Linked DNA regions of Saccharomyces cerevisiae S288C. The gene in region 2 interacts genetically with the main gene of each other region. Each region holds a gene or a part of one and is shown on either strand. Other genes may lie near its edges.

Evidence for each region. A genetic interaction does not mean that the proteins touch.
Region 1: mutations in RCE1 (region 2) and TUS1 are lethal when combined (synthetic lethality), as found in Saccharomyces cerevisiae (2 studies listed by BioGRID, with this or other methods).
Region 3: mutations in RCE1 (region 2) and AUR1 together harm fitness more than expected from each alone (negative genetic interaction), as found in Saccharomyces cerevisiae (2 studies listed by BioGRID).

Annotation. Positions count from the first base shown.
Region 1 is NC_001144.5:981,196-987,670, reverse strand, and holds TUS1 (Rho family guanine nucleotide exchange factor TUS1), read right to left. Parts: upstream 4,778-6,475; coding exon 854-4,777; downstream 1-853. Other genes in the region: TDA5 (Tda5p), read right to left, coding at 1-458, 530-609. UniProt on the Saccharomyces cerevisiae protein: Guanine nucleotide-exchange factor (GEF) for RHO1 that stimulates the exchange of RHO1 GDP-bound form into GTP-bound form. Required for signaling of cell wall defects to RHO1.
Region 2 is NC_001145.3:812,387-817,258, forward strand, and holds RCE1 (CAAX prenyl protease), read right to left. Parts: upstream 2,926-4,872; coding exon 1,978-2,925; downstream 1-1,977. Other genes in the region: ZDS1 (Zds1p), read right to left, coding at 1-1,594; ubiquitin-ubiquitin ligase BUL1, read right to left, coding at 3,265-4,872. UniProt on the Saccharomyces cerevisiae protein: Protease involved in the processing of a variety of prenylated proteins containing the C-terminal CAAX motif, where C is a cysteine modified with an isoprenoid lipid, A is an aliphatic amino acid and X is any C-terminal amino acid.
Region 3 is NC_001143.9:433,728-437,638, reverse strand, and holds AUR1 (inositol phosphorylceramide synthase), read right to left. Parts: upstream 2,060-3,911; coding exon 854-2,059; downstream 1-853. Other genes in the region: mitochondrial 37S ribosomal protein bS6m MRP17, read left to right, coding at 147-542; BYE1 (Bye1p), read left to right, coding at 2,762-3,911. UniProt on the Saccharomyces cerevisiae protein: Catalytic component of the inositol phosphorylceramide synthase which catalyzes the addition of a phosphorylinositol group onto ceramide to form inositol phosphorylceramide, an essential step in sphingolipid biosynthesis.

The sequences.
Region 1 (6,475 bases), on a different chromosome or scaffold from region 2:
ACTGAAGTGGTGCAAATGTGTTTATCTTAAAAATCTTATCAAGATTATCCCGTTCCATGCCGTTGAATCCGGTGAAGTTGGCCCTTACTCCAGCATTGTTCACAATCAATCGGATTTCATTTTTATACTTTCTTTTCAACAAATTCAGTAGTGCTGCAACTTCTTCATCATCACTCAGGTCGCAGATGAGATCCTTCACGCGAGTATTCCTCACTGATGATGGGCATATGTCGACATTCAAGATGGTCAGGTTGCTGTAGTCTTGTAGGAGTTGAGATACTATGGCCCGTCCAAGTCCTTTACTTCCTCCAGTAATAAGAACTATGCCATTCTTAAATTCACGAAGGCTCTTCCAGGCGACCTGTCCCGACCGCTTTATATAGGAATTAGCAATGAGGAATGCATTTATCAGTAGTGTATAGATTGTTAGACAAATGCTTATCGAGTCGCTTAGAGACCTAGGTTAGTTCGTCATGTTAGTATAAAAAACGCTGTTTCTAACCTCATGCCTATTTTCTACTTTACATACCATCTCAATACAAGAGCTACCAGAAGTGGATAGCGCAGCAGTGGCAGAACTACCCAACGACACAAACAGTCTATATTCATCACCAGAACTTCACCTTTTCCTCACAGCCGTATTATCACATATTAATGTATCTGTTCTACTGATTTTAAAGAGCTACTTGTTATACGGCTAAATGCACTTCCGAGGGTAACCTGTTATTCAGGATTATATGAACAGAGAGAATAATGATGTGAGTTACTGCAAATAGCATAATTACTGGACTATATTCTTGTTGGCTTATATTATTACAACGATATTTACCATTAAAAGTGTCTATATCTTATATTATTGATGATCTGCCATTGCTACAGGATTGCACGCGACTAATAATTGTCTATTAAGTATATTTGGATGACTTAACACAAGAATTGTTTTCTCTCTCCTTTCTGAACTAGCCAGCTTTATCTTCTTTCCTTTTATGATCTGGACGGGAACCAATTCGCCTAGGTTCTGCTCAACATTTTTTAAGTCGTAAATCTGTATCAAATTGTCGCCAACGAGAATCAAATGATTACCATGGAAGCTCGCGCCGGTACAACAAAAATCAAGTAAGAGAATATCCTTTCTCCAATCAGACATCTCACCGTAGCAGTTTATTTTCACTACGGCTTCATCATAAACCAAGGCAAAAAAACTAGATTGTGATATTTGAAAAAAATTGACCGGTATAGCTTTGCAAGTGGCGATATCCTTTTTTGCTTCTTCAGTGAGAGATTCTATGGAGGGGCGTTTCTTGGAGTCTGTAGCACTTTTGAACGGTAAGCTATTCAAATGTGGATGCCTCAAGTGTGCCATCATATCTTTATCATTCAAAAAAGATGGTAAGACTATTCCGTTATCCTCGAATGAATCTTGATAAAGTATGACTGTTTTCTTTGTACACACAGCAAAACTTTTCCTGAATATGGCAATATCCTCAATTTCGTTATTCAGAATGTTATTACTTGAACTTGGGAGCTTATACTCTTTGTAAAATTTGAAATATTTTACTTGGTTTGTCAATTGATCAAATTCTGGTGTTAATATAACTATCTTCCCCTTTCTTTCAAAAAATAAATGTTTTGAGTTACCAAAATCATCAGCAATTTTGAAGAATCTCACCTTATCTCTGATTACTGTTCCCACAATGCAGTTTTCATCTAGAGTGTTTCCTTGCGCTAGGTAACGGCTCACTACCGTTGAGATATTAAAATAGCACAACTTTCTGTTATCCAATACAAACAAGAGCCCCAACTTAACATTGGCTTCCATTCTTTTGACGTCGTTTAATTCTAATATTTTAACGAAACCACTACCATAATCGTCTCTATATTTCACATAGATACCGTCTGTTGTAGCCACAAATAGGTAAATTCTGCCCTCGAATTTAACATCTTCACAACAAAGAATCCGTGTTGTCTTACTCCATGAACATGAATCTTTGTTTGCTTTTTGAGCGTAAGCTTTGAGTGCTACATCAATTTCTGATCCTTCCGGAGCTACAGGTAGATTCACCGGTGCATCCTTGTCGAAGTATGCGAACTCAGAGCTCAACACTGTAAATTCAAAGGCATTTAAATCATGATTTTCTGCATTTCTTTTAAAAGATTCCATGATAGCATCAATCCATTGGTTGAGTACTTCTGCACTTTCTGTAAAAAATTTGAACGATTCACCTGTGGCTGTATTTCTGATCTTAAATGAGAACTCGTCTGTGTTTGGATTCGCGTTAGAAATTTCAGTATTACTAGTCTTTCTATCTCCATACGCTGTTGACATGTGATTTCCAGAACTTTTAAGCAGAGGTCTCATGGAGTTAATCGGTGTCGAAAAATTATGCATTGGGGATTTATGTTCTTTCTGAGAGTAGTTTCTCAGAGGCTGTTTACTTGTTCCTGGAATTTTCCTTTTCTCGAGACTTAAATAATCTATTGGGATAGGTCTTTCAATAAGCTTATATTTTTGAGTTTCTCCTTTACTTATTTCCTCTGTAATCAGTAAGCAATTGTCCAATAATGCGATATACACTGGGGTTGGGTCCAGCCATAAATCCCTCTTTTTATAAACAGTGCCAGATAGTACTAACTTCCTTTCCGGATAAGTTAAACCAAGAGCTAGTTTATCCTGAATTGCATCATCGTCATTTGCGTTAGTACTACCACCGACGTTCACATAGCTTGTTGCATTACTACTATTAGTACTTAATACTAATTGTTTCGAAAACCTTACTAGTTTCCTATGGTCAATTGCTAATCCATGTACCTGATTAACTTCAAAGTTCAACTTTTCTACTTCCTTAATTACTATTTTCAGGTATTCATAATCCTCCATGGAAGGATCCGTGTTCTTCAAAATTGAGCGCAGAGTTACGGGCATGTTTTGTAAAGATTTGAAAAACCCCCCAAAGAATATAACATCATGATACATCTTCGATCTTGTAATTTCAACCGAGTTATCAATCTCCTTAAGCCATGTTACAAATTTCGTCTTGTTTTTCTTCTCCCACATTATGATTTCGTGTACCGTTGCCATAGCTTTCGCGTAATTCAAATATATATTCTTGGCTTCACCACACCATTTTGAATAGATTTTTCCAACGCCATCAATAAACTTACCTCTCGTTTTTAATTTCCAAAATATTGGCGTCAAAAGAAATTCGGTATGTAATTGTATTAGAGGTTCGAAGATATCAAATGCCAATGCCTTGAACTCAGGCTCATCTGGAAGTAGGGATTTGTCAAACCGTTTCCCATAGATTTCTACCGCGGCAGTAGCCATGTTTAAGGATCTTTCTTCTAAAATAATTAAGTCAAATATAAAGCTTTGTCTTTGTACTTCACGGGGATTAATTTCTGCTAAATCATCTGGAGTCAAGTGCCAGTATTCTGTCCAAAGTCCAACTGATTTATTTATGATTTCGGAAAGTTTTATTTCTTTTCTGAAGCCAGAGCTTTGGCCATGTGTGCAAACGTTGGAATAACAAATCAGGGAGTTTGTAGATCCATAAGTATTATCGATGAATGAATAGCACGGTAGTAGTTCGGTGAAAACACCAGTAATATCCAGCCCTCCCACAACTACGGCTACCTCTTCATCGTTAATGATATCGAATCTTACTGCTTTCTGGGAAATAAACGAAGCCATAATATTATCCACATTTGAGTCTATCGTATCTTGATCGAAATTTGTAGGCATTTGAAACTCTAAAAGTAATTGAACAATTTGGAAAAGATCGATTTTCGTGAAGACACATTCATTAAACCATTCAAAATAAACTTTCAAAATCCACTCATAAATAGCAGAAAGTTTGTAAACATTATCACATTGATAAAGCTTGTGCTCATCGATAGATTGAATTGAAAATGGTTGTGTCGGTGCAGTAATGCTTGGTGCTAATTCTAATGGCTTGGCTCCTAGTAAAGAGTTAAAACTACTTTGCCTGGCATTTGAGTTATTAAAAGTATAATCTGAGTCAGAATAAACACTTTCTAGGGCTTCTGATACTCGGCTATTCCCACTTACGTTTCTAGATGTTGATAGAGGCGGTGGTGGTTTCGTAAAAAATTCTGAGTCTTCATCATCAAAAGGAGATAGCAGAAGAGTAGTAGTGAAAGGAATTGGGGGTAAAGCTTTTTCTCTTTCATGACACCGTAGATCTGATTCATCAGAGAAGTGAGCCTGCTGTTTGCTACTATCTCTTGGAGATTTAGGGGAATTTGGACTAAATCCGTTCGCAAATGGTGATTTTAAGATCCTGGAATGGTTAGATATGTATTCCATGTGATGTCGTTCCTCTGAGTTTCCTATAAAGGATAGTTTATTAGGTGATCTTTCCCGGGACTGAGAACTGGGAGATACCATGGGTGAGTCTATCCGTATTGATTCAGTGGAATACAAAAGGGGTGGCGGTGGTGGTGGTCGTCTTTCTTTGACGTACTTTGTCGATTTGGGTGTGGATTCTGAAGAGCTAGTACCGTTTCCCCTTGCACTATGTTTTGATGTAAAGGTAAAAGCCTGAGGGACCGGGCTTTGGAATTGCTGGGTGTCACTGATTGGTGTCCAGCCAATTGAGATATTATCTGTTCCGTTATCAGAATCATCCAAAAAGGAGTTCCTCGTATTCAATGGTGGCAGTTTGGGCAATTCGATGCTCTTTCGTTGGCTTTCTTGACGGCTTACTCGTTTTTCTGGTGTTCGTTCAAAAGGGGAACTTCTATTATATCGATACATGTTAACTTGCTGCACTCAATAAGTTTTTTGTTTTAATGTTTATATTCGAAGTAGTATCAATTAATTGTTCATAACAGTGGCTGGAGGGGGTATACAGAACCACTAAAACCTCCAGAAATAATAGTTGAATAAAATATTGATGCAAGAAATGGATTTTGAACAGTTATATTGCGTACTGATCATCCTCTCTAGGGGTTGTTTACCTAAACGATGTGTTAACGTTTTCTCTAAATGATTTATATTGCGGCCTATGCGACGAGTCAGTATGAACAATAGAAAATCTTAAGAAGCCGTAAGCTAAAAACATCAAATGATTATAGCGCACCAACTGCTCGACTGGAAGCAGCGAAATTACGTATGTATGACCGAAGCTCAGTTAATTTTCTCTTAAGTAAAGACACAACCTTTAAATGTTGACTAACTGTGTTTGAGTAGGGGAAAAGTCCCCAAAAGTTGACGCATTTCCTTTGCATGACTGGTTTTGGAAAAGATTTCGACCTAACTCCCCAAAAAATTACTGTGAACACCTATCTGTGTAAATTTACGGTTGTTTTAGTCAAAATAGCTGTTATAACGTTTATCATAGTCCACTAAAACAGTATTTGGACACCGAACAAACTGTTTTCGATTAGGAGATTAATCGCATCTATTAAATAGCTTGATGTTTTTATTATACAATCTTCAACATTAGTTGTGATATGGAAGTTTAAAATACTGGCTAGAGACACTCGTTAGGGTTAAGGTAAATCGATAGCGGTAGTACATTATGGCATACATACCAAGATCGGGTAAAGCCGTTCCATAGTTAGATGCCTACTACTAAATGACGGTCTGAAATGGGAATTATATACGATAAATATCACAAATTGAGGAGATGGAATATAAGGATTAGCTGCTAATTATATGACAGGTTTATTGCGACGTTACTATATTACAACAGATGGCGGTTTTAGGGTAGTACCGCTTGCTTAATCGAATCAGATCAAATCAGAAGAAAAAGCAGGATCAGGCTTGAAGTACACGCTCAATGAACAAAAGCGAAAATAACCTTTTGTTTAGAGGTGCTTGTCATATCGAAATACTATATTAACTTTAAAATATTCCGCGCTACGTTGGGTGAATTAGAACTGACCAGGAGCATTTCCCTAATAAACTAAATTAGCGTGGCCACACTTTCAATCTTCGTGTGAACCTGTTGGAATAAAAATCAACTATCATCTACTAACTAGTATTTACGTTACTAGTATATTATCATATACGGTGTTAGAAGATGACGCAAATGATGAGAAATAGTCATCTAAATTAGTGGAAGCTGAAACGCAAGGATTGATAATGTAATAGGATCAATGAATATTAACATATAAAACGATGATAATAATATTTATAGAATTGTGTAGAATTGCAGATTCCCTTTTATGGATTCCTAAATCCTTGAGGAGAACTTCTAGTATATCTACATACCTAATATTATAGCCTTAATCACAATGGAATCCCAACAATTACATCAAAATCCACATTCTCTACATGGTAGCGCCTATGCTTCGGTTACTTCTAAGGAAGTCCCATCAAATCAAGATCCGTTAGCCGTTTCAGCTTCCAATTTACCGGAATTTGATAGAGATTCCACTAAGGTTAATTCTCAAGAAGAGACAACACCTGGGACATCAGCTGTTCCAGAGAACCATCATCATGTCTCTC
Region 2 (4,872 bases):
AATCCACGTTTTCTTCATTTTCATCGTCCCCTTGGTTTTCTTCGTTATCGTCTTCTCTGCTCATTTTATTGTTCAACCATGTCCATCCGTTTCTTCGACGATGTCGCTTCGTTTCTTTGTTGTCATCCGTTGCGCTTGGCTTTACCATGTCTGTTGTTCCCTCTCTTAACTCTAAGTCTTGTTCTACTGTGTCATTTCGAACCTTGACGGGTACCTCTTCGGCTTCTTTCTCTATTCCCATTTCTTGTTCCCACTCGCCACTAGACTGTCTGTAATGATTATAAATGTCTTGAAAATCACCAATTGACCCAGGCGAACTCATATTCTCAGAATCCTCATCTTGCTGTCTAAAAGGGGATTTGTGCGGATCTATTTCGACCTTTATTGTATTCTTGGTCAATTTTAGACGTTCTTCGTCGTCGTTTTTCATTTCATCCACACTTTGTTCTACTTCTTTTTCTTGCTCTTGTGACCTGATTCGATAAGTGTTGAATCTACTCCTTCTCAGTGACGATCGTTCAGGCCATGTCATGGTATTATTGATGGGCATATTGGAGGCAAATTCACCATCATCCAAAGTATTCGCTTGTGAAGTTGAAAAACCAATATCTCCTTCATCATAATGCCCTTCCGGTTGTGGTTGATCTTTTTTATCTGAATATGAACCAGCCATACTAAGAGTTCTGGCTAATGTAATGGCATCATTGTCGGTTAGTCCTGCACTATTTGAGATCTTTGTCAGTTCTTCAGTTATATCTCTTAACGACACTGGTCTCTCTTTTATTTTGGAGATTCTTTCTTCGACTTTATTTACTGTTTCAGAGGCACTGTCTCCCTTATTATCGTCATCTTCGTTATCATCAAACTCTGTATATGACCTCCGCAATGTTGAAGGCCTTCGTATTAGTGACGCGTTTCCATGCCTTGACAGCCCCCTGTTCAAGTTGATAGTGTTGTTCTCCTTATTTTCATATGATTGTGATTCTTTATCCTCCCCATTATCCTCAATATCGTTATTTTCATTGCTATTCCCATCATTATCTTCACCATTGTCGCTTAGTTGTATATTTTGTAAAGTATCTTGTACAAGCTCTAGGAAATTATCAGGCTTAACGTTAGGGTGTTGATTGGCGGGAACCCATAATAAGTTTTTCTTTAATACGTTAGCATTTAATTTCCTGGATGGAGAGTGAACACCTTTTTTTATACCTAAGTAGTTACCTTGTTTAGTCTTATTGGAGGATTCTATCCCTGAGTTACCCCTCCCATGCAAGTTCTCTAGCGGAGTTGGATCGCTATATCGTGTGTTATTAACGGTGGTTGTGTCACTTGGCATTGACGCAGAACTGGATGTCGTGCCAGACCATGATCGTCTCCCACTAGATTCCCCACCGAATTTTATATCTAATTCTGGATCAATAAGTAAATCCATTGACCCAATCGACAATCTTTTTAGGTTTTTTACGCTGCGGATTTCATTGTCAAGGGACTGTGCAGCAATCAAAACTTCAGACTTCCGTTTATCCCTTTGACTAGCGATCGCCTTATCGCTTGATGTAGTACGCAGCATGCTCTCGTTATCTCTATTGGACATTATAAAAGACAGCTAAATTCTCCTTTGAATTGAAAATATGTAACCCACAAAACAAACCAAAACTAACTAAGACCTTAAATTCTAGGAGACCAAATAAAAACCTTAAAAAAAGAAAAACGTCGAAACCTATTAGATGCCACCTTCTCTCTACTCTTAGATCTGACAACTTCAATACCACTGACACGAACGACTTGTTATTGAGTCCGTAATACAAAGTATAGGTACTTTATAGTCCTCCAAATTCTTTCACCAAAACACCAAAACTCGATTTTTTCACTCTTCCGTAACAAAAGCCCGGTCGCTCGATAGAATTCCATAATAGTAGTGAAAAAAGGTTATAGTACATAGGAAATTTTAAACGGTATACAAGTACGTAAAAAAGGCTAAAGGGTTATTCTATAACCAGGAGTTCCTACCAGAGTTTGTAAGGTATCCTTCAGGGATATTAATCCAAGGACCAGCAGTGCGAAGTAGCACTTATTCCAGATTGAGACCAATTTGGAAATGCGTCCAGCTTTCTTGTCTACTACTGTGAAATGTAAATTCAATCTTGAAGGACCAGGAAACCCCATGATATTGCAAAGGGCATGCAGGATTATGCAGCACCATAGGTTCCCGCCTGTTCTTACGAATACAAACTTGGTTAACCCTCCAAAAAGTGTTGTGTATAAAATTTGGAAGCATGTTGTCAGCAGAATGGAAACAGTTGTCATGGAGCCTTCCTGTAATTGCTCATAAGCATGGTGTGCGTGCGCAAGTCCAAAAAAAAGCGATGGTTGCCAAAATAACTGTTGATAGCTTAGTTGCGAATGCGGTATTAGGTTTAAGTACGTAGTCAAAAGCATTGACGTGTAAAATATTTCCTCAGTTATTGGTGCAAATATAAAATTCCTGAAACTCCAAATATTCAGGAATTCATGGTAAAAATCTTCAAGTATAGAGCTCTTTGGATTTAATAAATGATATAATACAAAATCTAAAACGGGTCCACAATATAAGGTCAATAACATCGCAACACATTTCGTTAAGTCTTTCACGAACTGGCTGAATTGCCAAGGGTTTGGCAATGCAGCGTAATAACCTGGGATAATACCTAAGCCTAAAAATGCGTCCTTGAAACTTATATGTGAAGTGGTACTAGATAATTGAGATTGTAAAAAAGGCACCAAAAAAAGGTTGGAAATTAGCATAATTGTAAGTTTTTGCATGCGAGATTTAATCGTTCGAGGATTATCTCGTTTAGACCCTTCTGGTTGTGAAGTTGCATATAGCGGTAGCACATAGGATATGGAGATGTATAGGAGCACTAGAAATGTTGAGAATTGTAGCATTGCTGTTCTGGTTCTCTCTATGACAGACAGTCAGTAGTCAAAGCATCAATTTATTTCGTTTTATTTTTCTTGACAAAGAAAATTCTATGTTTTGTTCCTGAAATCTCGATATTTTAGTAACTTAAAATAAAGGTAATAAAATCATCAAAGGTTTTCCATCCAGTGGTCCAAAAAAAAAAAAATACAGAAGCAACAAAAGAGCACCAGAAAATGCATTTTAAAAGAATTTTATTAATAATAGGGAATACAAAGGACGCGATAAATACCTTCATCTATAAGCAAACCATACATATATCTATATCTATAAGAAAAGTAACGAGAATTTTTTCTAATGTTTTTTTATTTTGTCACTTGCCTAACAGAAATAGGGATATCAATCTTCGCTACGCCAAGATGGTTTTCAAATTTAATCATTACTCGAACGCAATAAAACCTACAACATAGGCAGCTTTCAAAACTTGGAATTAAAGTTTCCTTAATGTCCTTATTAAATTCCAAGTTCACATTAATGTCTCGTTTGTACTGTAAAGGAGCAATCCTAACCCATTTATGAACAATCTGGTCTGTAAATTTCAGGGAAGTAGACGAGCTACCGCTAGGTAAAAATAAACTACTCTTGGATGAAGAAGTTACTGGCGTTAATGACGCTGAACTGGGCGACGATGAACTACCGTTACCTGTGTGCGATATTGAATCCTCAGATAATGCGTGCTTTGAGTGTTGTTTTAGGGTACTGACCTGTTTTTTAAAAATGTTGGATAAGTTGTGAACACTAACTTTCAAGTTGCAAATGCTTTCGATATCGTTAAACAGCTGTGAAGTAATAAAATCTGTAAATTTCAGTTCCTTTGGCCTACGGTCTCCCCTATTCATATTATATAACTCATTTAATTCAAGAAAATTCTTGTTGAACTTGGTTTCATATTCACAAATTTTTGAATGGAAATCATCGTACAAAGCTTTGATGCTTGTCAGCTTCTCTTTGTTCATCAACAGTTCAGAATTGAGTTTTATTGGGATAGAATTATCAGATTTAGCAGTTATACATATCAGTTCTGTGGTAATCGATTGAATTTCTGGCGGATCATGAGGTAAGCTATTATCGGATTCTATGCAAGTCAATTGTAAATCAAGTTTTTCCAATGGTTTTTTTACGTCTTCCGGAATCAACTCAGACAATCTCACCCAATTTTCTTGGTCGTGTTTACTCTTAGATTCAAAAACATTGGTCTTTCTCAATAATGAGGGAGCCCAATATGGTAGGCCCTGTTTTGGAATTTTCGCCTTTACTAGTATTAGCCCTGTCCTTTCTTTATTTCCCGTTAAATCATGATTATTCTTTCCCGCATTTGAGGAAGAGGACATTGAGCTGGAACTGCTGTTTAAAAAATGAGAGAAGTTCAGAAATGAGGAGGAATTGGATTTGTTTTTCAGTTTATATTTTAGTTCACTTTCAACAAAGGGACCCCAAGCTCTGGAAGTATCGGTATTATGACCACTATTTCCACTGCGGCCATTGTCCAAATCGTGGCCCAACTTCAAATCGTTATAGTTGACTAAATAGTTATTTCTGTTCTTAATGTGCAGTTGGTCCAATTTCCTCTGCAAAATTTCTTGGGAGTCTGATTCAATAGAATCATCAATGGTACCACTCAAGTCTGCACCGTGAATGTCGCGGTTCGTTATGGGTTCTTTTTTCTCTAATCTCTGAAAGATTTTTCTAAGAGCATCCAACCTTTCCTGCACTAGTTTGGTGATATCATTCAGCTGACTCATAGTGGTTCTTTCTCCGACGACATTGGCGTCAAAACCAAAAGGGATTACTCTTAGATTATATTCTCTTTCCTTCATAATATACAGTTTAGAGGCCTTTTGATCTTTACCGACAATCCTTGCATCAATAGTGTAATTGATCGAAAGGTTGTCATCAGACATATCGTTAGTTAA
Region 3 (3,911 bases), on a different chromosome or scaffold from region 2:
TCTATCTTTTCGCAGTTATCATCTAACCCGGAAAAGTTTCAACAAGACTTTAGCCTTTTAATGGAAACTCCCACTAGTTCAGCTTAAACAAAATAGAAAAGCTTCAACAGAGGAAAGAATAACGCAAAACCACCCTTTTCACTAAGATGCTTTATGAGCTGATCGGACTTGTTCGCATAACCAACTCCAATGCGCCAAAGTTGGAAGCAAAAGAATTGTCTTCCACAATCGGGAAACTGATTATTCAAAACAGAGGTGTGGTGAGGGACATTGTACCCATGGGCATAAGGTATCTTCCTAAAATAATGAAGAAAGACCAGGAAAAACATTTTCGAGCATATCACTTTTTAATGCTGTTTGATTCATCAGCTGCGGTACAGTCTGAAATTCTAAGAACTTTAAAGAAAGATCCCCGTGTCATAAGATCATCCATCGTTAAAGTTGATTTAGATAAGCAGCTGGATAGAGCCTCATCGTTACACCGTTCTTTGGGGAAGAAGTCTATTTTAGAATTAGTGAATGAAGATTATCAATCCATTTAGGTATAGCGCACAGGTTTTGACTGGGGACGCTACAAACACATGTAAATACATACATATCTTTCATACACATATAATAAACAAAGCAGGAAGAGCATTCTAAAAGCCTCACTTAACATAGACACCATTAAAAGCCACCCATTTATTTCAAAAATTTATAAAATTCTAAAGATAATCAGTGGTATGTGATTAAATAAACTACATGTATATTATGCTAAACGACAATCCTGACTAAGAAAAAGAAAGAAAAAGATATATATTTATATGTATCTACATAAGACCAACCGTATCCGTAATTGCAGATAAAATACTCATTAAGCCCTCTTTACACCTAGTGACGTTATAGACGTGGCGGACGAACGAGAAACAGAAGTAGATCCATCAAATAACGAAGGGCTTACACTGGGTTCATCAGTCATATTAAGATCAAAGTCAAGTTCCAAGTTGGACAAAGGGACACTTTCGATATCGTTTGAATCTGCAGCCAATGGATCACTCTTTGATATATCGTATTTCTCAATTGAAGTGTATGACCATCTGCAAAAAAGAGATGTATCTACAATTGGTAAATGTGTGTACTTTGTGTACTGGAAAATAACGTATGACAGCACAGAACCTGCCATAAGGTCTACAAAATAATGGTGTGTCAGATACATAGTTGACCACCATAACCAGCAAACATAAGCAATAAACAAGGGCTTCAATTTTGGAAAACAATAACAGAAAAACAGGGCTTCCATAGTAGCACACCCGGAATGCAGTGAAGGAAAAGCACCGAAAATGACGGAGGAATTTGAAAAAGCTGTAGTATACATATTAATACCGAGTAGCTTATCAATTCTAGCTAATCCACCAGGCGAGCCATGCATATCATAGTTGGCTGATTGCAATCCATAGAGAATTTTATACCATGGGGGAGCGGCTGGAAAGACATTTTGCATGATAACACCAAACAGGTTCATATAACCAAATGCAAAAGCATAACCTTGCAAAACAGTTGGTGGACCAAATACGAATAAGATGGCAGCAACGACAAATGGGGCCCCAAAATGAAATAGTCCGTACGGTAACCATGCTAAAATGTCCAAAAAGGAATTCGTCGATGTTGCAAGAATATCACTTAAATTGTCGCCGTATAAAATTGTTTCCACCGCTGGTAACACTTTGACAGTAATAGGAGGCCTGCGGTCATCTGGAAAGTACGATGAAGTGAAATACAGCGCCACCCATGTTAGGATGGGCAAGGCATTGAAGAAAAACTGTGACGTAGCTGGAATGATGAATAAAGTGCCCAAGAAACAATAAAAAAGGATCTTGAAGATCCAAGGTGCGGGATTAGTAATGAACACAAACAGCATGATGGATCCCAAGAAGATGTAATGCACCCAGTCGCTTAAAGCGGGTTTGTATTTTTGCACCTTCAACAACGTTTGATGGGGATCTAAACTTGTTTCTAAATCGGCTACATGGCAGTTTGGAGGTCTCTCTGATAGAAACCATCTCGAAAAAGGGTTTGCCATACGCAAAGGAATGATTAAAAGCTTTTTAAAATATGAAAACCGCAACCTGTAGGATATAAAATAAAGTACTTTTGGAGAAAATTCAAAGATCCTTGGGCCAAAAGCTATACCCAAAGTAGCTCAGTGTGAAAAAGGAAAAGGATAAACTTATGAAGTACTTAACAACAACCAAAAGTGAGCGATCGGACTAACCAACTACCTAAGAGATGTAGCAGTAGAAATCCTACTCTGTTGGTTCACGAACAAAAGTCGCTAGTGTTCTTACGCTATGGTAACTGAAGCAAAAAATACGCCTCTGCAGTAGTACCAAATCAGAAAACCACTTTGTAACAAATATGAACACTGATGGGCACTTTATTATTCTTTGACAGAAAGAAATAAAAAAGCGATGACCCGCCAAGCAATGAAGTTGATATTCTTTTGTTGTGGTTTTTTTAGCTCATTTTTGTTTTTTCCTTTTTTCAGTTTTAGGATCACTCTTCACGAATAACTTTTCATATCATTTCTGGGAGCTGGGGAGAGATGGATACTATTTCACAAGACATGCAAAGGGATGCCCAGACTGCAGTTTGGCCAAAAGGCTTGCAATGAAAGAGGATAGGTTGACGAGATCTTAGTATTTTGACTTGTTCTATACACAGGGAGCTATCGATTATCCTAGGTTCTCTTTTACTTTTAGCTTTTATTTAGTTTAAATTTATTATGTCTGTCCGTACTTCTTCAAGATCTAATAAGGGTCAGAATAAATATATTGAGTATTTGTTACAGGAGGAGACTGAAGCACCAAAGAAAAAAAGAACTAAAAAGAAAGTTGATTCAGCCATAGAGAAGAATAAGAAGTCTGATTCTTCTCAGGAGCCAAGGAAAGATACTGAAAATGTAAGAACAGACGAAGTAGACGAAGCGGATGAGGGCTATGTTAGATGTCTGTGTGGGGCGAACAATGAAAACTACGATGCTGCAGAATATTCGCATGGCGACATGGTACAGTGCGATGGCTGTGACACTTGGCAGCATATTAAATGTATGACTGATGGTAAAGACACCATAGATGGGCTAATGAGTGAAGATTCTAAGTACTACTGTGAATTGTGCGACCCATCATTGTATGCACATTTGGAAACGTCAAAGGAGGCAGAGGTTTCAGAGGATGAAGATTACCATGATGATGTTTACAAGCCCGTAAATGACCATGATGACAATGATGCAGATGTCTTTCTTGATGAGGAAAGCCCTAGGAAACGAAAAAGGAGCCCCGATAGTGCCAAAGGAATTCATATCAAATCCAAACAGGTGAAGAAATCCAATGGGTCAAAAAAAAGGAATAAAAGCATTGATGCCGCCAAGTCTGATACTGCCGAAAACGAAATGCCTACTAGGAAAGATTTTGAAAGCGAAAAAGAACACAAACTGAGGTATAATGCAGAAAAAATGTTCTCTACCTTATTTAGCAAATTCATCGTTCCCGAAACAATTGAGGCAAAACTTTATGAGCTTCCTGATGGGAAAGACGTTATATCGATATCGCAAGAGTTTGCGCACAATCTGGAAGAAGAACTTTACAAAGCTTGCCTTAACGTCGAGTTTGGTACTTTGGACAAGATATACACAGAGAAAGTGAGGTCGTTATACTCTAATTTAAAGGATAAAAAAAATTTGGAACTGAAGGCACACGTTGTCGAGGGCAAATTGCCTTTAAATAAACTGGTGAACATGAACGCATCTGAACTCGCAAATCCTGACTTACAAGAATTTAAAGAGAAAAGGGATAAGATTATCTTAGAAAATTTTATCGTGGAGGTACCTGACAAACCCATGTACGTTAAGACCCACAAGGGTGATGAGCTGATCG